Regions from separate parts of the Mus musculus genome. Here all the other regions are reported to be linked to region 1. The links are microRNA targets in miRTarBase. Many come from high-throughput screens and were not tested one by one. Region 1 holds a microRNA gene; each other region holds the end of a gene's coding sequence. Distances are from middle to middle.

Region 1 (5,955 bases):
TCTCAGCACTGAAGAAACCTGGCATAGTGGTGAAGGCCTGCAGCCCTTGCACTCAGTAATCAGACACAGGAAGCTCAGAAGTTCAGTGCCATCCTCAGTTACAAATGGAATTTGAGCAGGTGGTGATAGCACAGGCCTTTACCCCCAGCAATCAGAGGCAGAGGCAGGCAGATCTCTGTGAGTTCAAGGCCAGCCTGGTTTATAGTTTCAGGACACAAGTCTACAGAGAAAGCCCATCTTCACAAACAAAGGAAAATAGAATGTGAGGCCACATGAGATTCTGTTTCAGTAATAAAAGGAGACCATGGCAAGATATTGCACACCTCTAACCCAAGCACTCAGGAGGCAGAGGCTGCCAGATCTCTAAGTTCCAGGCCAGCCTGGGCTACATACAAAGTTCCAGGCCATCCAGGGATACACAGTGAGATCCTTTCTCAGGACAAAACAAAGAAACAATAATAAAAGCACTGTCACTCATACCTACATAAGATGTGTCTTTAAAGAAAATTAAAGGCCGGGCGTGGTGGCGCACGCCTTTAATCCTAGCACTCGGGAGGCAGAGGCAGGCGGATTTCTGAGTTCGAGGCCAGCCTGGTCTACAAAGTGAGTTCCAGGACAGCCAGGGCTATACAGAGAAACCCTGTCTGGAAAAACCAAACCAAAAAAAATAAATAAATAAATTAAAGAGTGAATAGATAGAGAAGCGTCCCTGTGGCAGGGACACTTAGGGACCTGACAGTGCTAACTAGGTGAGGGGAGATCAGGCATGGCAGAGGTGGAGCAATGCTGGAAATAGACACCTCCACAGAACCGAAGGTTAGGTCTCTCCTCCCACTCCCATTCACCACCCCTCACCCCCCACCCTCAAAGGAAGAAACAGACCAGACTGTCTAGGATAAGAAAGGGGGCGGAACATCCCCCAGAATGAGGGTCTAAATAGCAGAGGCTCAGCTGTGGGGAGTGTCTCAGCACAAGTTTCTGCTTCTCCACAGGGAGAGACCCAAACATATCAGGCTCTCATTGTGTCTTGAGCTCTGATGAAATGCCCCGGCCCTTACACTGGCTCCCACAAGGCCTGGGGGCTGAGGTGCTCCTCAGCTTCCCAGCAGAGGCCCACTTGTCCACGGACCTTGCCAGAGGTGGCTTGCAAGCTTCAGCTCTGCCCACCCAGCTCAAACAGAGTCAAAGCCTAGGGATGGAGTCAGGCTGAGGGTACATGGAGCCTGCTCCCAGATAGATTCCATCTAGGTCCAGTTGCCAGGACCTCCCTGTCCTATTCAGATTCAACTAACATTCCCATCATCACCCACAACAAACTGGGACCTTTCAGCGAGGCCCGAACAACTAAGCCCTGAAGGACGTGGTGAGGGTCTTTCTCTTTCCTAGCCCAGTGGGGTAGGCAGGTAACCTTCTTTGTGGGGTTGGGGGTGAATGGTCACCCACTTAGAAGACGGGAGGCAGGGTGGCGGTGTAGTGTCAGTGTTGGGGTTCTTGGCTAGCATCTTCAGCCTTCAGTTTCATTCCCAGCACAGGAAACTAAGCAGAAGATAAACAAAAAGGGAGCCAAGCCTCAGCTTGTCTCAGGAAGCCAGCAGGCAAAGAGTTAAGAAGCAGGGACTTCTAGAACCCGGGAAAACGTGCCCCACCCAGGGGAGGGGCCAGAGGGTTAAAAGCCAAGCTGCTTGAGTGAGAAGAGACAAGGCAGGCTCTCCCTGTGCAGAGGATTCCCTGGACGAGGCTCCAGCTCCACTCCAGCTCCAGGTAAGCAGTCCTTGGAGTGGCTGTCAGCCTGCTTATAGGTCTGCCCAGAGGGAAGCTCCTGCCTCACAACTTCGTTTCTGCCTGTAACTCTGGATCCCTAAGAGACCCGAGTAGACCTTAGCTTCCTTCTCTAAGCCACCTGGGGTTATCCTGGACCACAGGATCAGGGAGATGCTGCTCTGGGAGGGAAGTGGAGGAGCAGAGGTAGGGACTTAGGTGTCCCTGACTGACCCTGAGCCAATCCCCTGGCTCACTCCAGGCCTGCTGCTCACCTCCTCCTCCAGGACCTTGGCTGGGATATCATCATATACTGTAAGTTTGTGATGAGACACTACAGTATAGATGATGTACTAGTCTGGGTACCCCACCTCCAGAGCCTGCCTGGTTTGCAGCAGAGATGCAGAAGTACACGGGCTCACTGCTCGGCCTAATCAAGCCTGCTGACAGCTGTGGCACTTGGGAATGGCGAGGAAACCGTTACCATTACTGAGTTTAGTAATGGTAACGGTTCTCTTGCTGCTCCCACAAACTGTGCCAAGAAGAGCTCATGACCCTGGAGCAGACTGCTGGAAGAAAAGGACACCCAGGCTGACAAGAGAATGGGGTTGGGGGAAAGGGTACATTTTCCTCTTCACTGTGCCAAAGAAATAAAAGATAAGAATAAGAGCACTTGTCATTTAACTTTATTAGCATCCGAGGCTGGGTGGTTGGATGGGATGGGAGGACCTTTGTGAGTTTAAAGCTAGCCTGATCTATGTAGAGATAGCCAGCCAGTCAGAGTTGTAGGGTAAGAACCCGGTCTCAAAAAAAAAAATAATAATAATAATAAAAGAAAAAGGAAACACGGGTCCTTATGCAACTTCAAGGTGAGGAACTTGGGGGAGAAGAGAAAAATTGTGTTCCTACCAACAACTGGAAACTCAGGGCAAGAGTTTGGTTCCAATGCTAGCGGGGTGGACATGACTTAGAACCATGGGTTCTAGGGTGTGGTTCAGCATGTATCCTATACAACTGACTGAGACCCTAGGCAGAGGAACGCCCCGAGAACTGAGCTAAGTGGAAACATGGTTGGGCAAGCACTGTGCAGACTCGGCAATGCCAGGCTGGCTGGCACAGGACCTTCACAGGACCAAGGGCCTCTCCTCCCATTGATGACCGACCGACTAGGCCATCCTCTGCTACATATGCAGCTGTAGCTATGGGTCCCTCACAATGGAAACCAGTCAGTGTCCATGGCCCTTCCCAGTCCTGTAGACCCCTCTGACAGGGGTAGTTCTAGTCAGTGACTCTGCCAGCAGCTTGAGCAGGGATCCACTGGGAGAAGCAACAGAGGATGGTCATTTGAGGAGTTTCACAGAGAGGCGGATGAGAACGTCACAGTGGAAGATGTCCATGAGGTCCCGGCCCACCTCCTGTGCAATCTGGGAGATCAAGAGGCCCTTCTGACCAATCAGGATCCTCTGCAAGTAGTGAAAAGAGAGGCACATGGTTCTGCTCTTGGCCTCACAGATGGGGAAGAGGCCATGGGTAACACTGCTACCCTTCTCTGAGCATCCCTCACTTACCACATGAGATTCTTTGGGCACCAGAAGGTTCTGTTGGATCACTAGCTCTCCACTTGGTCCTTCCTCCCATATCACTGTCTTCTGTATAAGGAGACATCAGGACTAATCAGGCAGGCTCATCTCTGTATCTCTTGGTACCCAACTGTTCCAGGGGTGTGCCTGGTATACAGGCACTGTGTCCTTTTCCTCTGCCCACACCTGCTGCACACCGTAGGGCACCTCCTCAGGCAGGTACTCTAAGAGCTTCTCTCTGATTTTATTGGCACAGATCTCTTCGGGTGTCTGGCTAGTGAGCACACCACTGTGGAACTCCCAGGGTCCTGGCTGGGCCTGTGTCAGAAGGTATTGCTGTGGGAACAAAGGAAGAGTAGGTTCTTAACCCCCATCAGAACATTTGTTTATGCATGCTTCTAGGAGGAAAAGGCTATGACCCATCCTCATGTAGCCCAAGCTGACCTTAAAATTACTACATAGTAGCTGACTACAGGGGCGAGCTGCCACAACTGACTGAAACACCTTTAAGAGAGCATCTCAGGCAGATCAAGCTGGCCTTGTCCATCCTCGTTTGTCCAGGCTGGGAATGAGCCTCCAATCTTCCTGTCTCTATCTCCTAAATGCTATAGTAGCAGGTGTGCACCCACGTGTGTGTCCAGCTTATGTGGGGCTAGATACTGAATCCAGCACACGAGACAAGCATTCTACCAACTGAGATACATTCCTAACTTTGTTTCTGGTCTCTATGTTGCTTGGCTGGCCTAGAACTCACAATGGAAACCAGGTTGACCTCAAACTGAGTAATCCTTCTACCTCTGCCTCCTGAGTGCTGGGATAACAGCTGTGTGCCACCACCCCTGGCTGTTTTCTGTTTCCTGAGACAGGGTCTCATTGTAACTGAAGCTATTCTTGAATTCACTATGTGGTTAAAAATGACCTTGAAATCCTGATTCTCTTGCCTTGGCCTTTCAAATTCGGGGATTACAAACATAAATGACCAGAGCCAGAGTTTTGTTTTGTCTTTTAAAAGACAGGATCTCGGTGGATATCAGGCTGGTCTGGATGAGGCCTATCGTAACATGGTAGAAGTGGTGGATTATGGGCAAGGCTAACTGACCTTCAATGTGTTCACATCCTTGTTGTTTAGTGCTGATAACATGAAGATCTCCTGGAAGTAGGGCCAGCCAATTCTCTGAGGGTTCCTCACTGAGTGTGCATTTGGGCCCTCAGTTTCAGGGCCAGGGCAGTGGGTGCTGGAGCGTGAGCGCAAGGCCTGCTTGATATTAAGCTTCTTGCCATTGACAACACCTTCAGTGAGGGCTGCTGTCAGCTCCAGGAGAACTGACTTCTGCTTCAGGCAATCTACCTGGACATGCGGGATGAACAAAGTGCATGGTGAGAGCCATGGGACTCTGGAAGGAAAACTCTCTCACGTGGGCAGTCCTTACCTTGTTTAAGACGAGGATGCTAGGGACCTGAGAGAACTTGGTCAAGCACTGCAGCACCTGGGGGTTGAGCCGACTCCTGGTCCACTTGTCTGACACATCCACAAGAACTACAACTAGAAGGTGGCAGACAGACAAAAGGATATCTGTAACCTTCCTCCTGACCCACGACAAGTTCCTGGCTACGGGCCCCAGCCAGACCTCGGCTCCCAAACTCCCAGGAATGAAAGGCCCCATTAATAGGGCTTCAGATCTTTAGTTTGAGTCTAACCAAGATCAGCAGATTCCATGCTCGTCCATGGATCTTCCAGCAAAGAGCGCTCCAGATGGTGCCTAAAGAACAAATGTATCAGTCAGGAAGGCTTATGACTGGTCAGTTCTTATGAGGAATGGTAGATAAAAGGGAAAACTTCCAGCTCCTATGAACAAATATCCCCTCCCCCTTTTCTCCTCTTTTTAAAAAAATCACCCCTCCCCCAACAAACACACAAGCATGTGTCCCCATAGCTAATACCTCTTCTGTTTAACAGGACTGATGATGCCAGGTGTGTCAAGCAGAATCTAGAATCAGAAAGATACCCACACCGCCCCCCCAAAAAAGAAAAGATTTTTAATGGACTAGTGGAGAAAAGGGCCACACACACTTTAAGTCTTAGGATTCAGTCCAGGGCTTTACTCATATTAGGTAAGTATTCAAGGATTCTAACAAGAATTTGCAGAGTCAGGCTGGTGAGATAGCTCAGTGGATAAGAGCACTGACTGCTCTTCAGAAGGTCATGAGTTCAAATCCCAGCAACCACATGGTGGCTCACAACCATCCGTAACAAGATCTGACACCCTTTTCTAGTGTGTCTGAAGACAGCTACAGTGTACTTACATATAATAAATAAATAAATCTTTAAAAAAAAAAAAAGAAAAAAGAAAGCCGGGCGTGGTGGTGCACGCCTTTAATCCCAGCACTCCACTTGGGAGGCAGAGGCAGGCAGATCTCTGAGTTCGAGGCTGGCCTGGTCTACAAAGTGAGTTTGAGTCACAAGAGGCTTTTTATTTTTTAACTTTTTTACTTTGCCAAGGCCTCACTTGTAGTCCTGGCTGTCCTGGAATTCTCTATATGTAACAGGCTGGACTTGAACTCATAAGAGATCCACCTGCCTCTGCCTCCCAAGTGCTGGGATTAAAGACATGCATAA
Region 2 (5,955 bases), not on the chromosome of region 1:
GCCCTCCAGTGGGCTTAAAGCATAAAAGCAGCTCAGTGCAGCCACCTAGAGGCTGGGTTGCTACAGGGATGGGGTGCTAGGCAGGCTGTTTGGGACAGTCTTGGGACACAGCTTCCAATGAGGCAATATCATGTTTGGGACCAGGTCTTGGGAAACACTTGGGTCAGTGAGGATCAAAGCTGGGTATTATGGTGGATGTTGGGGCTCAGACCTGCTTCAGAGTCCAGAAGGCAGATGAACACACTTCAGACAGATTGAGAAGCAGTTTTTCTTTTCCTACGAGCCAGTTGTCATTCATCATCAGAGAAGTTGCTGGGTCCTGAGAAGGGCCCCGTGGCCATCATATATAGGCAGTGTACAAGGCACACTGATGGTCCTGAGTCCAAGTTACAGATTGGCATCCAGCTCTACCCACTGGTAGAAACTCCAAGAGGGCCAGGACCCCAGTGGCTCCTGGGAGTTTCCAATGGCCTGCTAGTCACTGAGGCCACTGTTCACATCTGCATCTCAACAGAAAGGAAACTCCACCTAACTCCACCTACTGCAAAATGTATCTATCCCCATTTCCACCCAACAGAGTGTCACTGAGACACATTCCAGGGACCACAGAGTTGCAGGTGGTTAAGTTATTGCCTGGGAAGTTTTAATTTTGATCAGCTAAAATTACAAAACCTGTCACCTGTGTGCAAATGCAGATTATGTCCATAGACACCTACAAGGTACTTGAGTTGCAGGTAACTGCAGAGGATGTAATCTCTTATCCAGGAACCTGGTGTGTGTGTGTAAGGGAGAGAGAGAGAAAGGGAGGGAGGGAGGGAGGGGGAGAGAGAGAGAAAGAGAGAGCGAGAGCGCTCTCCAGGGACACAAATACAGGGAATCAGACATGGGTTTCTGAGGTCCTTGTAGGGGATGGTGCCACAACAGTTCCATCTTTGTGCAGTCACTGGCCCTCAGGGTAGTGTTGAGTGCAGGGAGACAGATTCCTGGAGGCCCGGAGCTTCCAGGCCTTAGCAAGACAGTCTTGGCCTCCTAAGTGCTTCGTGGAGGGAGGTACATGGGATAACTAGAAGTAAGCTTTAGTAGAAGAAAACTGATGATCACACATGGTAGGAAATTTTCAGATCACTCCTGAGGTCTAGTTGTTGAATTATGAGGAAGCAGCTCAGCGATGGTTGGCAGAGCAACCAGGTTGAGGCAGGGCAATGCAAGGGTAGTGGGATCCCCTACGACCTGGGGTGACTGTGGAACACTGCAGCCCTTGGGGATTCAATGATCATGAGCCCATGAGTCCTTGCAGGTTAGGATGGACATAAGCAGCCCAGGATGCCTGGTCAGCATGCAGCTGGAAGACTGCAAGGATCCCATGGAGACCATGGGGGTAGGGAATGGAATGTGAGCTTCGGGGAAGGTAACTCTGGCCTGGCAGATGAACAGTAAGATGCTTTTACTCTACTGAAGTATCGCTGGCAAGAGCAGGCCCTGTGCTCTGTGGCCCAAAATGGAGAGCTTATTGACTGACAAGGTTAAGTGTTGGCAGGGTTGTACATAGACGAGGAGCCACCTCTGGAGACAGAATAGGGGCCACATGGGCCTTGGTGCCAGAGGACTAGGCTTTCTAGGTCTCACCTTCACCATGGACATGCTCCGGTGACCTGTAAGTCTCCCTGTCAAGCAGTTAGTCTCCACTGTTGATAAAGGAACAAAAGATACATCTACACTCCCATGGGGGTGGGCAGAGGTACCATAAAATGGTACCACTGATATTGAACTTGGAGACAAGAATGGGCTATGTGACACAATAATCACCTCACACAGGGGCAAGATAAGGGTAAAACTGCAGGCGCACTAAACCTTGAGTACGGAAAAAAGTGTTAACTATTTCCTACCCACTGACAAATCACGTGCTTTTGTCTCTTGATGGAATTCTCCACAGTGACATATGACTGTCTAAAGGACATCACAAGACAGTTTCTCCAAAATTTTATTTTAATTTAAATTACAGGGCCAGCCAGATATTCTGATAAGAAATTCACTTTTCCTCAGGAGAAAGGAAACACTTTCATGTCATTAACAATTGTATACATCTCCCACTTTTTTTAAGGGTTAAAAAAAAAAAAATCACATTAAGTAACTGCCTTAAGTAAAATTAACCCTTTATAACACCAAAGAAACCACACCCAGGATAATCGTTCTGGTAATAGGAACCTAGAAAGTGATCACACTTTAAATGCAACTTTTCAATCTTGAATGTTTTCACATTGTTCTGTTTAAAAACAATCCAGAAAGCCTTCTCAGCCCTCAGCTTCCAATGTGTGAGTGACAGTTCCCTGACACACTGCATCCCATCTTCCACAGCAAGACTCTAGCACCGCTCTCTGTGTTAGCCCAAGTGGAAACTGTTCTGTTGTCTCAAGTTCTAAGAGCTAGCTTGGCAAAGAGACACTCCTTCCACTTGGTGAAATGGCCACTCTGTCACCAAATCCTGACTCACAACGCGGTGGCAAGGACTGGGTCACTTAGCACAGCTGAGTCTGCACACTACCCAGCTGAGAATGTCCTTGTCCAGAAGCCTGAATGCTTTCTCTATCTCTACTAGAGACCATCAACTATACACGCACGCACATGGGTAAAGAGAGCCTTGGAAACCCTTTACTGTAGACTGCCATTTAGATGAAATAGAACAGACCTATATTTTCTGGAGTGGTTTTTCTGACTTGTATTCCTTGAAGGAAACCTTAAAACCTGCTAAAACGTCAGCTAGGAGGCTCCTTTTACTGGCCAATGAATAATTCAGTTAGTAAGAGAGGCTAACAAAGAATAATTATGTAAATTTTTTTAGTCAGCTACAGCCATGCTGAATTGGATCGGGCAAACTCTGATTTTAAGTTGTTAGTTGTGATCCGTGTGTCACTAAGACAGACAGACACCATTCTAGTAACTTTATGTAGATACAGTCTAGGAGACATTGTTCTGCTGTGGTCACAGTCACAAAAAGTGGTGCAAAATCGGTTACTTTATAAATACTGATCATCTGCAGCATTAAGGAAAAGGACATTAAACCCATCCATCTCTCCCAGGACATCAGGACCAGGGCTCTTCTTTCCCTTAGAGAAGCCAAAGTTAGAATTATTCAGTTACTCGGCTACTGTACTGGATATTACTCTAAGAAAGAAACGGTGCTCTATAGGAGGTCCCTCACAAACAAAACAAAACAAAACAAAAAAACCAGCATTATTTAGCATAATCTGTATCATTCATAGATATGGCAACCTTAGGACTCATTTTAAATGAATAAGGCCAATATTCTGCAAGAATATGTAGCAGACAGAGTTCCAGGTATGTAGTTCTGCCTGCCAACGGCGCCCCATTGGGTAACTGAATACAAGGGATTGGTTCTTTTTCTTTTAATGCTGTGATCCTTAAATGTTAAAATCAGCATTTTCATGTAATCTCAAGTATTTCAATTACATATGAGCATTCTTTTTTTTGTTTTTTGTTTGTTGCAAAACTCAGGTAATAGTTACATACTACTACAATAACATTCCTCTGCTGTACAAATTAAACGATTTAAAAGAAATGAGCATTCTAAGAATTATATACAAAAGAAACCTGTAAGCAGTGTTGAAATGAAACATAAGGTGTTGCTGCTAGCTCTACTGTTTTAAAACACCTTCAAAAGTAAAATTAAAACACCCTTCAACCTATCCAGGTTTACAAGTTTCAAGAAAATCAAATGTCACAAAGTTCTAGAAAGCTGTGAAAAAGCATATATACACTTTCTTATGACCTTATGAAGCTCCACACTTGACAAGTTGCTAAGCTTCAGTATCAATTTATTTGCACACCAACTTTATCCTCCCCAAAGCTCACACTGGATACAGTTCTCCAACAATCCCTGTATGCGCCATCTTCCTTCGGCAGAGATGGTGGGTATGCCCGTGCCATACTGCACAGACCTGCAGAGAGCAGTGCCGATGGACGGGCAGGTGTCAGCGATGTATCACCGTCTTTTCCCTAGACCACTCTCACTCTCATTTGCTTTCATGAACCCAGCCATGTTCAGAACTCCTGTAGCAAATGGAGTCTGTGAGTTCTGAAATGACACAGAGATCAAGGGAAAGAAAGACCACGTGCGCTCTAATGTGCAAGCAGCAGCAGCTACGTTCTCCAACCTGGACTGAAAAACAAAAAGGTAAAATGAAAAACCGTTCACTTAACAGCAGATTAGCAGTAGTGCTCCCCATGAACCGATGAGAGTGCCTGATGCTGAGGAGCTGACAGCCAGTGCTGAGCTTGGATGGGACCGGGGCTGAGTAGACACTAGGCTTCCTGCTGGGCGGCTCTCTTCAAATCCCTGATCTGCTTGACTAAGTAGGTCTTCTCGTCGTTGAACTGCTCGTCCTCGGTCCTGTCGTTCTGAAACTTGCTGAGGAACTCGATGAGCTTGGTCTGGTTCTTGAGGAGGATGTCTAGGATGGGCTGCGTCTTGTTGGGGTTGGCCACAAACACCTGTAGAAGAGAACACCACGCCAGTCACAAAGACATCAGTGTCCATCCAGCAAGCTCCTGGGCAGGCAGGGACCAGGGGTTTTTCTTTAGAAGAACTTACTTTTATATGATAGTGAGGGTAATAATAATGACTACATGTTTAGCACAAAGATTGCCAAGTCATTCTGCCAACCCTGAAACACAGCACTTAGGACTAAATATCGACTTTGACTTTTAGAATCAAATTATTTCTGGGCATAAGAGGTCAGACTGAAATTTAAGAGGATCCCCCCCGCCCCCCCAGGAAAGCATTAAAACTACCTCTGGCTTTGCACCAGCCCTCACTGAATCTGCAGAAAGAGTGAAGGGGAGGGTGGGGGAGAAGGGCAGCAGGGGTCGTGTTTGTCTCCAACTATCTTCTGTGCAAGCTGAAGAGAGTAACACCCTCTCTGACTATACTTTCCCATCCCATTCTCTTGTACAAGGGCACAGCCCATTTCCATCCAGGTCCCGCTTCTGTTAAACATTCTGACTGAACTGAGTTATCACTTTGGTTACCAAAACAGGCACTAGTTTAGTAACTGCAGTGACCAGTTTCAGAAGCTGGCACCGGTGCCCGGGCGGGCGGCTCACCTTGAACACGTGGAAGGCCTCGAACTGGATGTTGCGGCTCTTGTCTCGGAGGAGGTTCATCATTAGCTTGAGGTTCTCAGGCTTGCTGATGTACTTTGTCATAATTGTGAAGTTGTGTCTGTCCAACAGCAGCTCACCCAGAAGCTGAGAAGACATAGACCATTACTCTTAAATTATTAAAACTTAAAGCAAATAAAAAAAAATTAAACAACCCATTTGATAGTCATCACTTGATGGTAGAAGAGACTAGTTTCAAAACACAGCAACAAAAATAAAAATGGACAATGTAACAAACTACCACTACCCAAAAGAAGGAAAGGGTACTAGGAAGTTCTGATTATTAACATTAAGTAATCTCTTTCCTGTTTTAAACTCTATTTAGCAGGACTTGCTTTCCGGGATGAAGGGTGTTTACCTAAGCACAAGCTAAGTGCTTCATCTTCTCACACCGGCCTCACTGACTCTTCGGCAGTGGTTCCTCAAGACAGCCCTGATGGTAAGAAACCAAGCAGGGAGCTGAAGGCACTTTCACCGGCCTCAGCGCTTCCACGTAAACTCAGTGTTTACTCAGTTACTGCTTAGCTGGGACTTTTCCTCCAGGTTGCTCTTGCACCAGGCTCTAGCTGAGGCTGTGTAGCAGCTACATACACTGCTGGGAGCAGGCATTATCCTTGTGGATAGTTGAGAGCATGCCCTGGTGCCAGCCTGCCTGGGTTCAGCTCTGTAGCCTTGAGTGGCATATTCCCCTTTGGTGTCTCTACCTTATATGTGGGCATACAGACCACCACCATACCCTGAACCCTGAAAACAAAACAACCCAACCACGCCCAAATC
Region 3 (5,955 bases), not on the chromosome of region 1:
GCATTAGGACAGGAGTTAAGCGGGCTTCCATTGCTTATTAGAAAGATGCAGGCAGGCTCCTAGTGGGGGTGGGGGTGGGGTGGGTAATATACAAGTGAGGCACTTCTGAGGTCAAGATAACAGCAAAAATGTACAACATACTTGTTCACAAAAAAACCTGTTCACACAAAAACCTGTGCATCTTTAATACAAAGGCTTTCGACTAGGAAATTCTTGAAAAAATGAAATAAAACTAATTGCTTTTGCAAATTTAGCTTTTGGGAACAATGGATGACAGTGTACCAAAGCAACTGAAAGGTTTCTAATTGCCCAGCTGCTAGGTAACTGGTACCTTTTAAAGCCCCCTGTAATTTTCCTTCCCTCCCCACCTTCATTCTGGTTTGTATAAATCACCTCTGTTTGTCTGTGTGCGCATATTTTTAATATTTTCTGTTTGACTCCCTCTATTTCTCTACTATCATTTACTAGCAACTTTTTGGTGTTCCCTGTAAGACGCAGAAGTGGGATCTAGATCAAATCAAGAGGAAGAGCAGCGACATTTAGTGATGAGTTGGTTTTATCGGTTAACTGAAGTTCTCCAAGTTACTTTTCAGAAAAGCTACACTTGCTCAATGTGCTGCTGGACTACAATTAAAATTACTTTAAAACACATTAATCCAAGTTACATGTTGCAAATATAATCAGACATTCAATTTTAACAGAAAAAAAAGATCCATAAAATTCTCTCCACCACGTTCTCTGCACTTTGAAGACCGACACGAACACTAAGAAATGCCTGTGTGCCACTTAGTTACGGGAGAAGAAAGAGGGAGAGGAGAAGCAAGTTTGACCCAGAGAACCAGATGGCACTGTACACATGAATCCAAAGTGCATTTGTAATAGTTCAGAAGCTCATTTTAGGCACTGCTGAATAACCAATGAAAATAGGTAGTTTCAAGTTTTTCTCTTTAAATTTTAAGTCCTGCCTCATCAACATCTACTCAGAAACATACACACTCTCTGGAGTTGTCATGATAAAATACAGGTAATTATGTTTATTTTTTTTTTAATTCTCCCTGACTGGTACTGGGAAGAAAATAGGAATACCATTTTGGTAATGGCTTCTGAGTTGAAGAAACTGGTTGTATAAATGCTTCAGTACATACATAAGTTTGATTGCCAGTTCCAAGTTTCAATAAATATTTTAAAACAGGATGTGTAAGGAAAAAGTGCTTCAATTCTTCCAGCAACCATATGCATTTGGGGAAAGACTTACTTACACTCCTTAGCGCTTTTCCTCACCCCCGATTTCTCTGGTGGGCACTGGCCACCCTGAACAGCCCACAGCCCTCCTTTACTGGAGACACCATTTCCATCTTTCAGCGCTGGTCTAAAGCCATCCAGCAGGTGGCACTGCAGCTCCGCAAGCACTGCTCAGGAAATCTAAGGCTTCCCCACAGGCTGCAAGCATCCTCTGAGAACTACAGATCAGGAGCAAACAGGCCCCCCAGCTGGAGAATTTTTGGGTCACGCTATTCAGATGATTTCATTTTCAATATTTACTTTTACTTCACCAGTTTTGTTGAGCTATCTGCTTACATTCTAGACAAAAGAGAAGTTTTAAAGAAAATGCCCAATGGCAGCGCCCAATCTGTACAGTGAACAAGAAATCATTCTTGAATCCACCTACACGTACATGTTGGGAATTGGATTAAACTGTCCATCTAATTCACAAAGAGACTCATTAACATTATATCATCAGTTTCTTTTCTGGACTGGCTTGAATTCATGTGTGCTAATTACAAAAATCCAAGGTTAAAAAAAAAACAATTTCATTATCATAGTTTTTAATGAAGAGAAATGTTTAAAATTGTAAAGGAAAAAATGGGAACGGGATGGCAAAATCTTAGCAGCAAAGTGGTTAAACAAACTGAAAATATTAATGCACAAACATTAAAATATTAAAGCATGTACGTTGCGTATAAAATACAGTACAGAACCAGGAGATGCACTATAGTGACTAGTGCTTAACAGAAAAAAAAAATGATTAATTTTGTTCTTCTCAGAAGTATATACACAGTTTATTTCCATGGCATTTCCTATATTGCCAGCAAGTTATTTTCTTTAGTTATTCACACCTTGCTCCAACCTGAATTACAAACCCAGAACTTACAAATATGGATAATCACTCATAAGGAAAACCAGGACTCTACTTCAGCAAGAAAAAGGAATCCTGAAAGGTAACAGTCTGCTCTAGGAAACCAAGCTCCTCTGAAAACAGCAAGGACGAAGATCATCTATCTGTGCAGCAGCCTCCAATGTAGAAACAGTAAAAATAAGACTGAAAATTGCTGCGACAGTGTCTGGTTTTGGATTTAGTTCATCCAATTGATTTTTAGTACAAAACTAGAAATAGCCTCTTCTTCATAACATCTATAGTTATCAATATATTTTTCTTCTTTTCAATGTGAAATAATACTTCAAGATGATCTATATACATAATGTTGTCAGTTCAAGCTGTCATATAAATATAAATGCTTTCTTAAAAAAAGTATTTTACAGACAGATAGTGTTATATATATATACATTGTTCAGTTTAATCTGGGGCAAAAGAAGAAAGCCAACACAAGCCGAAGTGTGACACATAAAACTGACTGCACAGAAATGACACTGAAAACCTGGAGAATGGACTTCAAATGGTAGTGTGATTTTCATTTTTATCACTTCAGAAACTTTAATCCATTAAAAAAAAAAGGCAAAAAAGGCACACTGCTTTCTTTCCTGAGGGAGTATTTTGCAACAATCCCTCACAAGAGTTTTAATAGTAACACTTTAAAAAAACAAAACCAAGACAATTTGACCTCAAAGTATTTTTAACCTGTTTGCTGGAGCATATCACACTACTTTGTAAATCAAACATCCCATAATACAAATGCTCTGCGACAGGAATGTGGTGTATAAGATTTCCATTCACAATGGTGGATTGAATACTTTCCTGGGAGAATTCTGCATATGTGTTACTGCAAAGTAACTTTGCTCCTGAAATATAATAAAATGCAACTGAAAGGTATTAATTACCATTGTTATGTGAGTAATAAGCACAGAAAATCAGTGAAACAGCTGTGCGAGTTCTGGCTCAGCAGAGTGAGAAATGGAGATCTCAAGCGGAAACTGTTTCACACTAACTATCCAGTTAATGCTTCTGCCTTGTAAAACGTTTATAAATGCAGTTAAGTTCTCTGAAGGAGGAAACTCTGAAAGAAAACAACTTGCTGGCTGAATACCACAGAAACAAAACAACTAAAGGAACCCTCAATTTCTTCTGTTTACTCAATCTCTTTATATAAAAATAAGTGTTACATTTCCATCAGAACATTAGACAATTACATCTGTGCTTTAAAAAAAAAGGTTGGTCACTCAAGGCTATTAGAGTATTTTAAAGATTTTAGATCTCCAGAATGTACAGATATGACTCAATATAAACTGCAGCCCAAGAGAGCTGAGGATGAACTCACCGAATCTCTCACATGGACACAAACGTTATTAACTAGATGAGTTAACTACTCAACACATATGGAATGTGGTGGCAGATATGTGCACATCTACCTCAGAACTAGGAAGGGCAAGAAAAGTTTAATATGTCATAGTTCGTACCTTACATTTAGTTAAATATAAACATTTGTTATTTATACATAAAACTGCTTTCAAAAAACAACCAATGATTTAGTTGCACTTGTCTTATCTCTTAATTTCCCAAGTACTAACTTTTCTGTACTGAAATCACTGTCCCTTAGTGCACTTTTTAGTTAATGTCCTAAAGAATTCAAATCTTTAAAAAGTCCCATCACCTAGTGCATAAATATGAAAATGCCAAAATTAATCCCTTTTAGTTGGATCCTATTCTATGTTGACCTTTTGTAATCAATAACCAGAAATGACTGCCTTCTGAAAATGCTCTGTGATCTGTCCCAGAACATGCCATGCACTCAGGGAAACAGGCACGGCTAGCATCTGTAAATCACAAGAACTGATGAGTTCTGCTTCCTCCACGCATGGCCCCAATGATACCGGCAAGATTCCATATTGCTTGCCAACAGCTTCCACAAATCCAAGTTAGCTAATTCCTGGAGATGAAGGTTTAAGCTCATGCCGGCCCTGGACTGCTTCACCCAGCAGCCTTATGTTTCCCACCACAGCACCCGCATGCCTCACCACAGCGATGGCACATTCTCAAAGGGACGTAGCAGCACATACATGGTACAATGAAAGACAGAGCTACCAGGGCTAACCACCTTAGGCAGAACTTGTCATCGCTAGTGTCACACGAACAAGGATCAGAAAAGTCTCCCTCTGAGTCTGACATACAATGATATAGCATGCTCTCAGCACAGAGCATGCAGCTAACTTGATATATGCATCTTTTAACAGGATCTGGAGCGTCCTGGCATTTCCCCCTGGCGTTTTCTTCATGATTAAACCTTTCCTGGCAGTATACGCAGCGAGAACGTTCCCCATCCTCTTTTCTTCGTTTTGACTTAAATTTTAACGAGGGAGGCTGTGTCTTAAATACCACAGAGTCTTTCAGAGAACTTAACTTAGTCTCATCCCCACAGTGGTAGAGATAGTCTGACTTTTTACTGTCTTGTTTAGAAAATGGAACACTGGAGTCAGTATCATCTCTCTCCAAGTCATTTTTCCACATGTCCGGATGTCTGTAGTCTGCATATCGACGTATTAAGATATCTCGAGGATTTATTCTAACAATCTCATCCTCATCTTGAAAGCTGACATGTCTGATTGACTTCAAAGGGACCTAGACAAGATAAAAATTGCAGTAAGGACGATGGTGGTTGATTTTATGTCAGTGTGGTAGGATGACCCCCACCTAGGGATTCATTCAAGGAGCTCTGTGACCAAGTTTTAACTGAGATCAACACTTCGGCTGCTGGACCACAGCCAATCAGACAACACCTGAAACAAAGACTACCTCCCTGTAGAGCAAGAGGAAGTTCTGCCAGCAGGGTGCCTTTGCACACAAGCTCCAGTTTTTCCCTCATTCCATGCTAATGGCTTCTCCTGCATTCACTTTTCTTTCTTTCTTTCTAGTACTGAAGATTAAACTTAAGAGTCTTATGCCTGCTAGATATGCAGTCTACCATCGAGCTCCATCGGCTATCTCTCTTTGCCCTTTGTATTTTAAGGTAAGGTCTCACGAGGCTATCAAAGCTGCTCCTGTGCTCTCATTCCTCTTGCCACAGCCTGGAGTACCTGGCCCTGTAGGTCTGCGCCACGAGACCTGGACTAACTTTTGGCTTTGTATCCCATTTCTGGATGAGCCAATCCCTTCCAACAGGAGCTCCATCCGCTCACCCCTGGTTCTGTCTTACAGATTTATAGTGCCAAGAAGCTGGGAGCCACTGTAATACAGCTTTAAAAATGGAGAAACGGATAATAATTTTTAACTAAAAGTGTTTTATGGTAGAGAAAGTACAGGAAGAATATGGCCTATAAGGTCCTCCTGGTGAGGACTCTGAAAAAAAAAACACCATACTACTGGACACAGGGAGAAAGAAAATGGAAGTGGCAAAATCAATCATGTTTGGTACACTTGGAAGATAAAACTTGGGTGGAAAGATATTCAGAAATGCTGTGCAGTTTTCTTCATGTTGCTTATAATATCCTGTGTGTGAGTGTGTGTGTGTGTGTGTGTGTGTGTGTGTCTTGCGCACACACGCAAGGACAAACTGAAGGACTTGCTAAGCAATTGGATAATCTCCAGTGAAACTTTATTAAAAACACTGGGGAACTGGAGAGGATACCAGGCAGAGCTGGATAAAGCAAAATGCTGCCAACATGGACGAAAGCAGCCAGGACAGGGTGAAGACAGGAAGGTTCAATCTCTGGATCCCTTCACAACATGCCAAGAGCACTGTGTGGCTCCAGGCATGCCCGAGCTCTCAGGTAAAGAAGCCTGAA
Region 4 (5,955 bases), 48 Mb from region 1:
GCTGGGATTTGAACTCAGGACCTTCGGAAGAGCAGTTGGTGCTCTTAACCACTGAGCCATCTCACCAGCCCGCTCCTCAGTTCTTAGCAAAGCACTTCTTTCTTCTGGATAGTATGCTCACGTTCAACTCTCTATCCACAAAGGCTAAGCCTACACCAAAGAGAAACCAGACAAACATCCTCCTTCCAAGATCTAGACATAACACAGATGAGTGAAGATGAGGCCATAAGACATACAGTCATAAGGTCAGGAAGGCCTTGTTGAAGCTTCAGACACCATCTATGGTCTTGGCCCACCAGCTCTGGCATTGGTGTCTTCCCTTTGTGGTGACACTTCTGCTTAGTAGCAATACCTCAGTGACTAGCATCACTCTGAGGTCACATGAATGAGGTAACAAGGCTAAGGGGAGCACCTCATACATGCACTATCAGCTAACACTTGTAAATGCTGGTTACAGCCAAAGTGGCAAAGGCACTTCTCTTGGTTGGGCTTTGAGTGCTAGGGGCCCTCCAGCCCCAGAACCCAAGGACAGTATCAGGGCTCTTCTTCCTTCTCCCTTACAACCATGTTAAATGTCTTAATTTAAGTGAACAGGTTCTATTCCCAAATTTAAATCCTTCCCCTCCCGGGGAATGTAGGACATTCTGCCTCCTTCCAGCCTTTTTTTGGAAGACCTTATTTCCAAACTTGCTTCTAGTGGCTCAACATTGCCACTGTCCAGCCCATCTCTGCTGAAACACAATGAACAGAGCACGCCAAGGAGCAGGCACAGGTCAAACAAGCAAGCAAGATTCCTCTCTATTCTTAACTCTAGGCTCTTCCTGCCTAGTGTTTTTCTTGCTGATCCTTTGGCAGGTGTGGTGATTTGAATAGGAATGGCCCTCACAGTCATGTGTTTGAATGCTTGTCTCAAAAGAAGTGGCACTATTAGGAGGTGTGGACTTGGAGGAAATGTGTCACGGTGAGGGCAAGCTTTGAAGTCTCCTACACTTAAGCTATGCCCAGTGTGGCAGTCCTGTGGATCAAGATGTAGAACTCTCAACTCCTGGGCTCAGAGGTTAGGAACATTGGGTGTTCTTCTGGAGATCCTGAGTTCAATTCCCAGCAACTAAATGGTGGCTCATAATGAGATCTGGTAACCTCTTTTGGCATGTAGGCATACAGGTAGGCAGAACTTTACATACATAATATATAATTTTAAAACAAAACAAAAACACCCTCTCAACTCATTCTCTAGCACCATGTCTACCTGCATGCCATCATGTTTCCTGCAATGACGAACAATAACAGACTAAACCTCTGAAACTGTAAGCCAGCTCCAAGTAAATGTTTTCCTTTATAATAAGAGTTGTTGTGGTCATGGTGGCTCTTCATAGCAAGAAAACCTTAACTAAGACGGGGATTTTGCTAAGGTGTAAACTTAAAAGATTTATGTGTATGTATGTATGTATATATGCCAGCATTTATGTATGTGCACCACATGTATGCCTGGTGCCTGTGGAAACCAGAAAACAGTGTTCCATCTCCTGGAATTATAGCTACTGCTGGCTGGATCTGAGAAGCCAGAGGTGTGGGTGCTGGGAACCTAACCTGGGTCCTCTGCAAGAACAGCCAAGTGCTCTTAACTGTTCAGCTGTCTCTGCAGCTTGACATGGAAATGTGTACCACCCCACATTAGCTTTTTGCTGTTGACCTATAGGTATATCTGAAGTATTCCTCTACCAACTTCTGGAGCAGTGAGCTTTGCAGATTGTACCTTAAGAACAATAAGAACAGGGCCCCTTTGAAGCCCTTCCTATTTAGTAACCAGTGTCTTCTCTCCCAAGTCAGTTGTGGACGGAAAATAAAGGGGGAATATTAGGATGCTACTTGGGAAGCAGAGGCAAAGAGATCTCTAAGTTTGAGGGCAGCCTGGACTACAGAGTGAGTTCCAGGACAGCCAGAGGACGGCTTAAGTATGTTAGCAAACATGTTCAAAAGCAAAGTACTACCAGGTAGACAGAACTTGAGTTATATACAGTGGTGTTCACCTCTGAAATCTAGACCCTCCTGAGGTCAAGAGAGGTTGGAGCACATAGCAAGGAGTGTGGCACTTATACCCCTGAGCACTGTTTCCTGGAGTGGCTGGCACATAGAGGGTGCTTGGCATAAGTAATTGGAGATATTTGACATGGTGCTGGTAGGAATCCTAGTTTAACCATCCTGGTCTCAAAGAGCAGAAGGTAAGGTGTAAACTAAGATAAAATGATCACATGTGCACAGGAACAAGGCCATAACAAAAAAAGAAAGATGTGGCAGGGACGTTTAACAGCTGGCAGCCAGAAAGCACCTGATTTATGCACAAAATACTGGCTTCAATCCACACTCTTTATGCCATCTTCATTAAGTGGATAGGACAGTGCCCTTAAAATCTAAGCCATTCTTACACTAAATTCTCAGCACTCCTAATGCTGTGGCCCTTTAACATAGTTTCTCATGTTGTAGGAACCCCAACCCTAACATTATTTTGTTGCTATTTCATAACTGTAATTTTGCTGTTATTAATCATAATATAAGTATCTGATACGCATATCTCATTTCTTGACCCAGAGGTCGAGAACCACTACCTTAGATGAAGACTCTGGGTGGGAGATTTTAAACAGTGAGCAACAGATTTCCCTCAGAAAATTATGCTTGGGGAATAAAAGAAGTAATTCACTAAAACAATCTAAAATGGCAACTCCACTCTTGAGCAGATGCTCCTGGGAAATGAACTGTGTGTGCTAGGATTTGGCCTCAGTGCCTTGTGGAAATCTCCCTCCTACCCAGACACCCCAAAGAGAAAGTTTTTGTGTCTGGGTAAGATGAAATGGCCTTTTAAAAGAATTAGTTTCAGGAACCTGCAAGCATTCCTCTGCCTCCATTCCCACTTGAGATACAGTGGGTCTCCAAAGTGTAACCAATTCTCAAAGGGAGAAGTGAAGGCCAAATGGAAACGTTCACAAGCCTTTTGCCTCTATGGCCCCATCATATCCATCCACCCTCGAGGGTGTGTGGGGACAGGGACACAATAAACCAGGGCTCAGCAAAGTCCTGAGTGCAGAACCACCTTTGCCTAGTGCTTTTTGCTGAGGCCTTGACCAGTAAACCTTGACTGCTAGATTTGAAACCTTGACTGCTAGATTTGAAAGATACCACAACCAAGATAGCCTCTGACTGTCCACCTCAGAAGTCCTAAGCACTAGGAAGCCCTGTGGCAAACTTGACATTGAGGAAGACTCAATGAACACTACCATAGCCATGTCCAGTTTTTGCATATTACCAAGAATGGCTTTTGTTCTGTAAGGGAAGACAGCCTTCCTTTGTCTATAGTATTTATTATTATCCCTTGTTCTTTTTCATGAAACATTTGCCTCTCCTTGTGCAGGTCTTAAGGCTATAAGACATGAAAAGTATCACCATTCACCACGCCTATTCATTCTTCATTTGTTACAGCTTCCAAGGCCAACACACACACACACACACACACACACACACACACACACACACACACACACACACACACACACACACTCACACTCACACACTTTGCAAATTCCCTATTAGGCATGCTTGGACAGGGAAGGAAAAACACCGGCTAGTCATAGGCTAGATTTAAAAGCATTTAATGACATAGCATATATTTAACAGGGCAAAAGTTGAGAGGTACAGGTCGTATGATGGAGCACCAGGCCTGAGCGCCCACTCTCTGTCCAAGCTCAGACTCTGGAGGTCATTACTATAGATGCCATTTTGATTGTGCAGTAAGATGAAAATTTGTTATTACAATAGTTACAGTGACAGAGAAATGCACACTATGTATCAAATAGCAGGGTAATGAAGCAAATTATAACAGTGTGGCCACGCACAAGCAAGTAACCATTAGAGTAACATTACTTTGTCCAGTAAATGCTTCAGTTCCACTTATACACTTAGCAATGATTTAAAGGGTTTATTATACATCTAGTTTATTATACTTTGTACTAGAATTATCTCAAACATACAATATAATGTATTTCAGAAAAAAAGAGACTGAAATTACAGATTATTTAAAACCTTATCAATTTTCTATTCTTTCTTGTATACCAACATTCTGAACTGTCACAGCAATTGATGCAGAAAAGCCACATGTTGTGTGTTAGTAAGTGATGCCGGATACAAATGGTTTGGCCTGTAGGTTTACATGGAGCTGCACTGTGGCTGCAGCAAGAGATCAGAATACATGATCTGTTTAATAAAGGCTACACCCATCGTGGGCATTTGTAAGTCAAGACTCAGGGTAACCACGGAAGTGAAGGGAGAGTAGTGTCAGGAAATCGGTCCATCGTCTCTGGAGAGCACAGGAAATATTGTGTAAGCACCACTGCCTTGCATACCAACAGCATCAGAGGCGGGTTATTTCCAACACAGCCTCACAAAATTGAGGAACAGTTTAAATACTGAGATCTAATCTATATAATTTCATTAAAAAAATCTGGCCTTCCCTCTGTACCTCAAACTTTTTAAACTTGGAGATAAAGTGTTTAGGTATGGTTCCCCCACCCCTCAGAAATACTCTATAAATTAAAAAATTTATTTCAAAAATAAAAAAAAAAGAAAAGAAAAAAAATCAACTACATGGAGGAACATTAGGCACAGAGTAATGTGTTGGTCGGAACTTGCATGCTGGACTCTTACTAAAGGTAAGAGAAGGGCGGGACAACAGGGAAGTTCACTTCTTCTTGCCGAAAAGGCTGAACCTCTTCTCTTTGTCTTTCTCTTTATCCTTCTCCCTCTTGCCAGGACTGGACTCGCTGGTGATGGTGACGACGCTGGTGGGTAAGGTCTGCGCCCGACTGGATGCTGGCGTACTCTGGGTGCTGGCAGATGTGTCGTGTTTGTCAGAGGAGATGGCAGAGGAGATAGCCTGGATCCATGTGTTCATTTCCTCCTAGATAGAGGAAGGGACACAGGTTAAGACTTGGTCAAGAGGGGCGGGCATGAGGAGTTGGTCTTACCTCCATGACGATCCAAGCCTGACAGCTAGAAGGCTCAGCAGCAGTGCCTCTAGGGTCACTGTCCTTAAATGCTTATCTACATTCTCAATACCACAGAGGATATGGCTTAGCCCCTCAGATGGGCCCACTGCTCTGCACCCGCAGACCATTACTCTGGGATGTAGTCCTACATACCTACAAGAGCTACAGGACTAGACTAAGGCTGTGAGATATCACTCTCATTCTAGAAAGTGTTTTTCCTCCCTAAATTAAAAAAATGTTTTCATGTGTGTATGTGTGTGTGTAGACACGTAAGTTCATGCTCATCAGAAGACAATTTTTCAGAGTTGATTTTCTCTTTATATAAAGTATGTCCTGGGGATCAAACTCAAGTCATCAGACTGGATGGCAGGCCCTTTACCAACTAAGCCATCTTACACGTCCCCACGCCCTTTTCCAGAGTTACCTCTCCTGGTGGAAGGGGCCTTTTAAAATGTAAATTGCTGCACATGTTATGATCACTGAGGTGACCCTCTCTTCTCCAAGGAGGTGAGGCTAATGGTAATGGAGTACAGTGTAGAGGCTTTGGACTGGGCATCAGGACATATACTCAGACTTGGGCCACCTCTCTGTGCCTTGCTCTAAGGAGCAGCAGGCAAGGGCCTTCCTTGCTCCTAGTTTCCAGTGAATCTAGTGGATGTTGCTCTAGTTTCCCTCCTTTAATGAGGAACATGATGATATTTTCTTCTTTTAGTCTAGTGTTGGTGGCTATGAAGACCAGACAGTTGAACACCTCACAAATACTTCCATGAGCTTTGGTATCTGAGAAAACAAAACCCAGTAGTAACTTACATCATCTTTGGCTTGGAAGAGGTACTCGTTTCCATCACTTAGTCTGTAATTTCAAGAAAATTACATTTTATAATTATGTAGGTAACAATTTCATATTAGAAAGTTAAAA
Region 5 (5,955 bases), not on the chromosome of region 1:
TGTACAGGAGCACTCAGGTGGGCTCACATGGAGATTAGAGGGGAACTTTCAGGAGCTGGCTCTTCCCTCCACCATGGGTTCTGGGGATTGAGGTCAGGTTGTCAGAGTTATACAACACACACCTTTACCTGCTGAGACATCTCATCAGCCTGAAACTAGAGATTTTTTTACAGTAAAAAAAAAACCCACAAAATTAATGTTTCTTTTTTTTTTTGGTTTTATTCCTACAGAAAGTTGATTTTTATGACTGTTTCTAATTTTCCCATGACACACACTAACTTAATGGTAGGGTTTTTAAAAATTATATCCTATTTTCACTGACTAAACTATCAGTATTTAACATAACTAAAATATGCTAGGATATAATTTCCTCCTTATCTGGAAGAAAAATGGGGTGGGAGGAGAAATGGACTTAGTTACAGTGTATTCTATTCATTTTAGGAAAAAGTTCAAAAGAGTCAAAATATAATCAATAACAAGTTTTTTTTTTTTATGTGGGAAAGCATATAGAAGGAAAAATCTAGATAAGTCTCAGCATAGTGATTCAGGAAAAGTTCAAAGCCAACTTGAAAAGGATTCAGACATTACAACCTAGAGAATACCTTTGAAAATATGATCTCATCCAAGGGCATGCTGATCACCAAAAGGGCCCTCAGGCCGGCAGGAGCCACAGCAGACCCAGATCCTCACAGATACTTCTTCATTCACATTCAGCAACACCAATGCTGTTTTAACATGCAAGCCAGGAATGATGGTGCACACCTGTGATCCCAGCACTTGTGAGCTCCAGGCCAGCCTAATCTGCATGACAAGTTCCAGGTCAGCCAGAGCCACATAGTGAAACCCTCTCAAAAATGAAATAAATTACTGAGGTGTGAGGTGACACATACTTGGCATCTATACCTGTCTGTATAAAAATAAAATAAATAAACCACATAGCTTACCATCCTCAAAAGCAGTTACAATTTTTCAAAATAAAACAACACTCATGGGGCTAACTAAATATGTGGCTTGGCTGATATTTGCTCAGCAGATATGAAGGCCTGGGTTTGATGTTGGGCATGGTATAACATGCCTATAATCCCAGCATTCATTCAAAATCACCCTAGAATATACATAGTGGGTTCAAGGCCAGTCTGGAATAGATGAGACTCTGCCTCAAAACAACAAGAAGATTTAAGGCTCTGGATTCAGGAGGTTAGAAATGTCTCTAAGGTTAGACCCACTCACCTAGGCAATCAAGTTAATGAAGCTACCTGGCAACAATGTGACCAGAAAGCCCCTAAGCTACAAGAACATTAAATCAAAGAGGAGAGAAAAGCATTGGCCTTCACAAGTTACAACTAGGTAGCACTAAAGCCATCTAGGTCAAGGGTCAGTCAGTTCAGTAAAAGCACAGAACCCTCCTGGTCTTTGAGAAAATCCTTCCTACCTTGTTAGAACACAACTCAAACACTATGTAGAGGCAGTGAACATAATGAAGATACATGAATATCATCTTGTTCAGTTTTGAAATTTTATGACCTATGAAGAGTTCAAAGGTATGACATCATCACTCACAGAAAGTAACAGAACAGAAAAATAACAATGATCACAAGCTATCGGTTAGCTTGCTGAGAGCACTTCCTTTCACTCTCCCTGCTGACAACGGTGAGATTTGGGTCACACACACACTAGCAAGCTAATCTGGCCAGGCTTGCCAGGCTTAAAGCCCACAGACTGATTTGTGAACTAAGCAAACCATGAATTAGGGGGAATCACCCAAAAAGCTCCTCACACTAACCCTGCTGTAGCCTTTAAAGGAAAGCTCCCCTGAGGAGACCCATGGTTACTGCAAAAGAAAACCGCTTCTGTCCTCACTTCACATCCTAGAGGGCAATTCTTGAATCACGGATGGTCTTTTTAAAGCCAGTGAACTGGGAGTCAACAATTCCTCATTTGCACGAAATCCAGAATGTGTTTAGCCCTTCACCTGGGAACAGCAGGATGAAAGCTGCCTGAACACAGAGGAGCTGGATGCCACCAGCCACCAGCCACCAAGCTGAGAGAGAGCCAATGAAGAACTCAGCACTTCACTTCCAAAATACCCAAGTCGTGCCCTGAATTTTTAGGGCATAAAAAACATGTTCTACGTTTTTTTCTAATCTATAACAACTTCTGGCCATGAAATAATGTCTCCTGTTTCCAGACAACAGTTTCTGCACTTGGCCTGTTAGTTTCCTCGGATTCTAAAAAACATGCAGAGTGTGAGGCCCTTCAGCCAACATCAGAGCCCTTGATTTGCAAACAAGAAAAAAACAAAATAAAGCAAAGTAAGAGGTGGATTAGAACCCTCACATCTGATGTCTCACTGACACGATAAGACTTAAAGCTTCATCTAAGCAGGGCCCAGGTCTAGGCCACCTGAGGGGCCTTAAAATGCAGATTCATAATCTCCCAGCTCAAGAACTTCCAGGGCCGGGCAGTGGTGGCGCACGCCTTTAATCCCAGCCCTTGGGAGGCAGAGGCAGGTGGATTTCTAAGTTCGAGGCCAGCCTGGTCTACAGAGTGAGTTCCAGGACAGCCAGGGCTATACAGAGAAACCCTGTCTCAAAAAACAGAAACAAAAACAAAAAAAAAGAACTTCTGGGGATGAACTTCTAAACATTCTACACCAATCTCCCAAGAAATTGGGAAGCAATCACATCAATTCGGCCTGAAGAACCTATCCTGAATCCAAACCTATCTGCAGTAGCCTGTTCCTCTACATACCACAGACCTTGCCAACAGCACGTTCAGGCTGCACCATCCTCCTAACCTGAATTAGTCACATTAAGGCTTTATACAGCTAAGCCAGGTCAATGGATACAGTCTCCACTTCACCTCTTACCTAATAACTTCTCAGCTAACAGCACACAACATACATCCCTTCAGGGTTTCTTCTTAAAGATGATGAATGCAGATGGTGCCAAATTATTCCCCAAACTGGTAATGATTCTGGATTGAATCATTATCAACCTCCAGGGGCAGCAGTGAATATAAACGTCACAAAAATCACTAAGTCCCACTTCCACAGCAGCCAGAGTACTGTACGTGGTACTCTCAAGATCACTTCCACAGCAGCCAGGGTACTGTACATGGTACTCTCAAGAGCAGATGAATTACCTTTCTGCCTATTTAACATTTCAAGACAACAACAGGAGAGGATCATATTTTCAACTCATTCTCAAAGGTGTAGGACTTTATAGAACAGTTTTAAGAAGCAACAACTTTACTCTCCAGTTTAAGAGTGTACTAACTGACTTTGTAAATGCATTTTCAGGACAATGAAACAATTACCTCCAATTAAATCATCTGCCAAACACCGGCCAACTACATTCCTAAGAGCCTTAAGCAACTAGGTCAGGCTTTCTGTTTCTGTGAGGAAAACCTTCTCAGGGTAACAGGAATTTAAAGCAGTAGAAGACTGAAAAATGTAATGTGATTTTTTTTTTTAAAAAGAATTCAAAATAAGCAATTTTAAGCCAGGCACGATGGCACACACACATAATCTTTCAAGAGAATGAGGAAGAAGGACTGTGACAAATATGAGGCCAATCAGGACAACAATACTAAAAGCTCTGTCTTAAAAACCAAAAGGAGGGAGGAAGAGGAAAAAGAGGGAGGAAGGAAGGGAGAAGGAGAAAGGAGGATAGAGGAAGGGGAGAGCCAGATTAGTTAGCTTGAGAAAAGTGAGGGATTTTAAAAGATTAGTCCTATTTAAGACGGTGGGAATCATTTCTCAGCCTCTGTCTAAGCTCAGCCAAAGATGGATGCATAGCTATCTTACCTCTAGAATTAAAAGCTTATACCCAAGGCAAGACACATTTCAGAAGACAGGACACTCTTGAAATACAGAATTTTATTTAAAAACTGTTTAAAGTAGAAAAAAACCCTGTCAAGAAAGACCAGGTGGAAAATGGGTTCCCAATAAAATGGAATTTGGGGGCAACAGAAGTCTGAAAGGCCACAGAGGAGAAACAGCACCGCTGTCGTTTGAACAATGGCTCGTTACTTGCTTTTTGTTTGTTTTTTTTTTTTCTTTTTTTGGCATTGTTAATCACTGAGCCTGGATTTTCCTCTGAATTCCACAGAGCATGCACTACATAACATTCTGTCATAAAATACCTGTTTCCTACACACAGCATAAGACAAGCTACCACCAGAAACAAATCAGTACAAACACATCAGGGGCTGAACAATCTCAGTAGTGGGTAACACATTTTGCAGAGTTCGCCAAACAAAGGAATTGAATAGGCTATGGGTAAAGCAATTGAGGGAGAATTAAGGAATGAAGTATTTTAAATATTAATATTTCAGTCACGGTACTGTATATTCTTTAAAAAAAAACATTTTAACATTTAGTAACACACTAGAGAATTTTATCTCCAAGAGATTAGTGCACTGGCAAAGTACTCAGGTGACAATGGGGAGCAGTGACCAGCAGACAGCGAGCACCCTAGCCTCACAGAGCACAGGTGACACTGGCCTTCACTGATCACTCCTTTGCCAGAGGTCCAGCAAGAACTTGCAGCACGATCACCTGCCTGCTGTAATTACAATGCTCAGCAGCAAACTTAAGGAGCCAGAGGAGTTTCCAGAGGTCACAGGGAGCAGAGAGAGAAGTGTAACTGTAAACTTAAAAGACAGTGTGCTGGGACTCCACCCCCATTCAAATCCCAGAGACGTGGGCAGGTCCCAGAAACACAATACAGAGGAACTGGAGGGAGAGTTTGAAAAGATCCAGAGGACTGCTCGATGGGAAGCTGAGCTCTTCGCCTCAGGCACTGCAGGGCCCAGACGCCCTCTAGTCACACAAGCAACTATGCTGCTTGCTTTTAGAGCAGGGGTGCAACTGGTCATTGACACAAAATGGTTTTACAGAACTTTTCAAACTTTACTTCTGGGCCAAAGTCGACATCTATAAGATTCAAGCAGCCTTGAAAGGCCTACACAGCAGGTTCCAAAGGGCCTAAAGTCTGCCCTTCCTTCCCAGACACAATGTCAGACACATAAAATCTCCTGTCATGTTACACTGTATGTTTTGAAATATGGAAGCATATTTTAAATACTCTTAAGGCATTTATTTATTAAAACGTTCTCTGCCAGAATTTCACATTAGCTTAGAATTCAATTCAGTCTTTGCATTTCTGAGGTTGTCACCTCTCGTATTATAAACCCCCTTCTCCATCAGTCAGTGTGACCAGCATCCACATGAAGAGCCCCATGGTTGGCCTCTTGTTCCCCTGGTAAACCAACTAGATGTTAATACTGCTCTGCTACAAGGCAAAAGCTCCTAACTCAAACTCATCGGAAAAGGTGAGACTTCTGCAAAGTGCACTTTGAAGAAGAGGTACTTTTTGCTTATGAAAAGAAACCAGTGAATCCTCTAAGATTAATAAAAGGGAGTATTAACAGTTAAGCACATGATTTGGAGTGAAGACTTCGGATGTTGCTCTGCTGGTCCAGGCTGCTTAATACTCTTCTTGTTCCTCCTGTGGGCCCCCTTCATCAGGTATCACAAAGCCTTCCTGAAATGGGAAATGAAAAGAAAGGAAAGCTGTCACTCAGCAGGGCCAGCTCCTCCCTCGCCTCACTGACCTCACAATCTAAGCCTCACATGTAGGCTCCTCCCTGTCGCCCACACGCCTGGCACTGAAGCATGACCAGGTGGCCACTACTGTATTCTTTAGACAATAGCATCCATTTCTTTTTTGTTTTGATTTTTGATCAAAGGTCTCCCTACACAGACCTTGCCTAGCCTAGAACTCAAATATAAACCAAGCTGGCTTCAAATTCACTGTCCTGCCTCTCTGCCGCCTAAGTGCTTAGTTTAAAGGTGTGTCCACCACCCAGCAACAGCACCATTTCTTAATGCCAAAAACTAAGCACAAATTATTCTCATAGCATTAAGAAGCAGTGAATATTTATGTGTCT

The links. The annotated mature microRNA mmu-miR-144-3p reads UACAGUAUAGAUGAUGUACU and lies in region 1 at 2,094-2,113, shown strand. An mRNA with a match to its seed (bases 2 to 7 or 8) in the 3' UTR can be bound and repressed. Matches are read on the target gene's strand: a 7mer-m8 pairs with bases 2 to 8, a 7mer-A1 pairs with bases 2 to 7 and ends in A, and an 8mer does both.
Region 2: miRTarBase lists Cab39 as a target of mmu-miR-144-3p. The part of its 3' UTR that is shown has no 7-base or 8-base seed match.
Region 3: the mRNA of Spred1 is a reported target of mmu-miR-144-3p. Seed matches in the 3' UTR shown: 7mer-A1 at 1,967-1,973.
Region 4: miRTarBase lists Sptbn1 as a target of mmu-miR-144-3p. The part of its 3' UTR that is shown has no 7-base or 8-base seed match.
Region 5: the mRNA of Mapre1 is a reported target of mmu-miR-144-3p. Seed matches in the 3' UTR shown: 7mer-A1 at 169-175.

The regions. Positions count from the first base shown.
Region 1 is chr11:78,070,954-78,076,908 of GRCm38, forward strand. It overlaps Mir144 (microRNA 144), which reads left to right and starts at 2,052; the gene lies at 2,052-2,117. Eral1 (Era (G-protein)-like 1 (E. coli)) reads right to left here. Exons shown (of 10, transcript NM_022313.2): 4 at 5,280-5,326; 5 at 5,037-5,098; 6 at 4,769-4,881; 7 at 4,438-4,686; 8 at 3,525-3,674; 9 at 3,327-3,407; 10 at 2,423-3,221. The coding sequence ends at 3,099. It overlaps Mir451b (microRNA 451b), which reads right to left and starts at 2,288; the gene lies at 2,217-2,288. It overlaps Mir451a (microRNA 451a), which reads left to right and starts at 2,217; the gene lies at 2,217-2,288.
Region 2 is chr1:85,847,587-85,853,541 of GRCm38, reverse strand. Cab39 (calcium binding protein 39) reads right to left here. Exons shown (of 9, transcript NM_133781.5): 8 at 5,122-5,265; 9 at 1,965-4,509. The coding sequence ends at 4,321. Among named protein-coding and RNA genes, the nearest start is that of Itm2c, 44 kb to the left of the region's middle.
Region 3 is chr2:117,176,139-117,182,093 of GRCm38, reverse strand. It overlaps Spred1 (sprouty protein with EVH-1 domain 1, related sequence), which reads right to left. Exons shown (of 7, transcript NM_033524.3): 7 at 1-4,792. The coding sequence ends at 4,145. Among named protein-coding and RNA genes, the nearest start is that of Mir674, 6.0 kb to the left of the region's middle.
Region 4 is chr11:30,095,767-30,101,721 of GRCm38, forward strand. Sptbn1 (spectrin beta, non-erythrocytic 1) reads right to left here. Exons shown (of 35, transcript NM_175836.2): 34 at 5,847-5,889; 35 at 3,629-4,948. The coding sequence ends at 4,730. Among named protein-coding and RNA genes, the nearest start is that of Eml6, 73 kb to the left of the region's middle.
Region 5 is chr2:153,766,468-153,772,422 of GRCm38, reverse strand. It overlaps Mapre1 (microtubule-associated protein, RP/EB family, member 1), which reads right to left. Exons shown (of 7, transcript NM_007896.3): 7 at 1-5,549. The coding sequence ends at 5,493. Among named protein-coding and RNA genes, the nearest start is that of Efcab8, 9.8 kb to the left of the region's middle.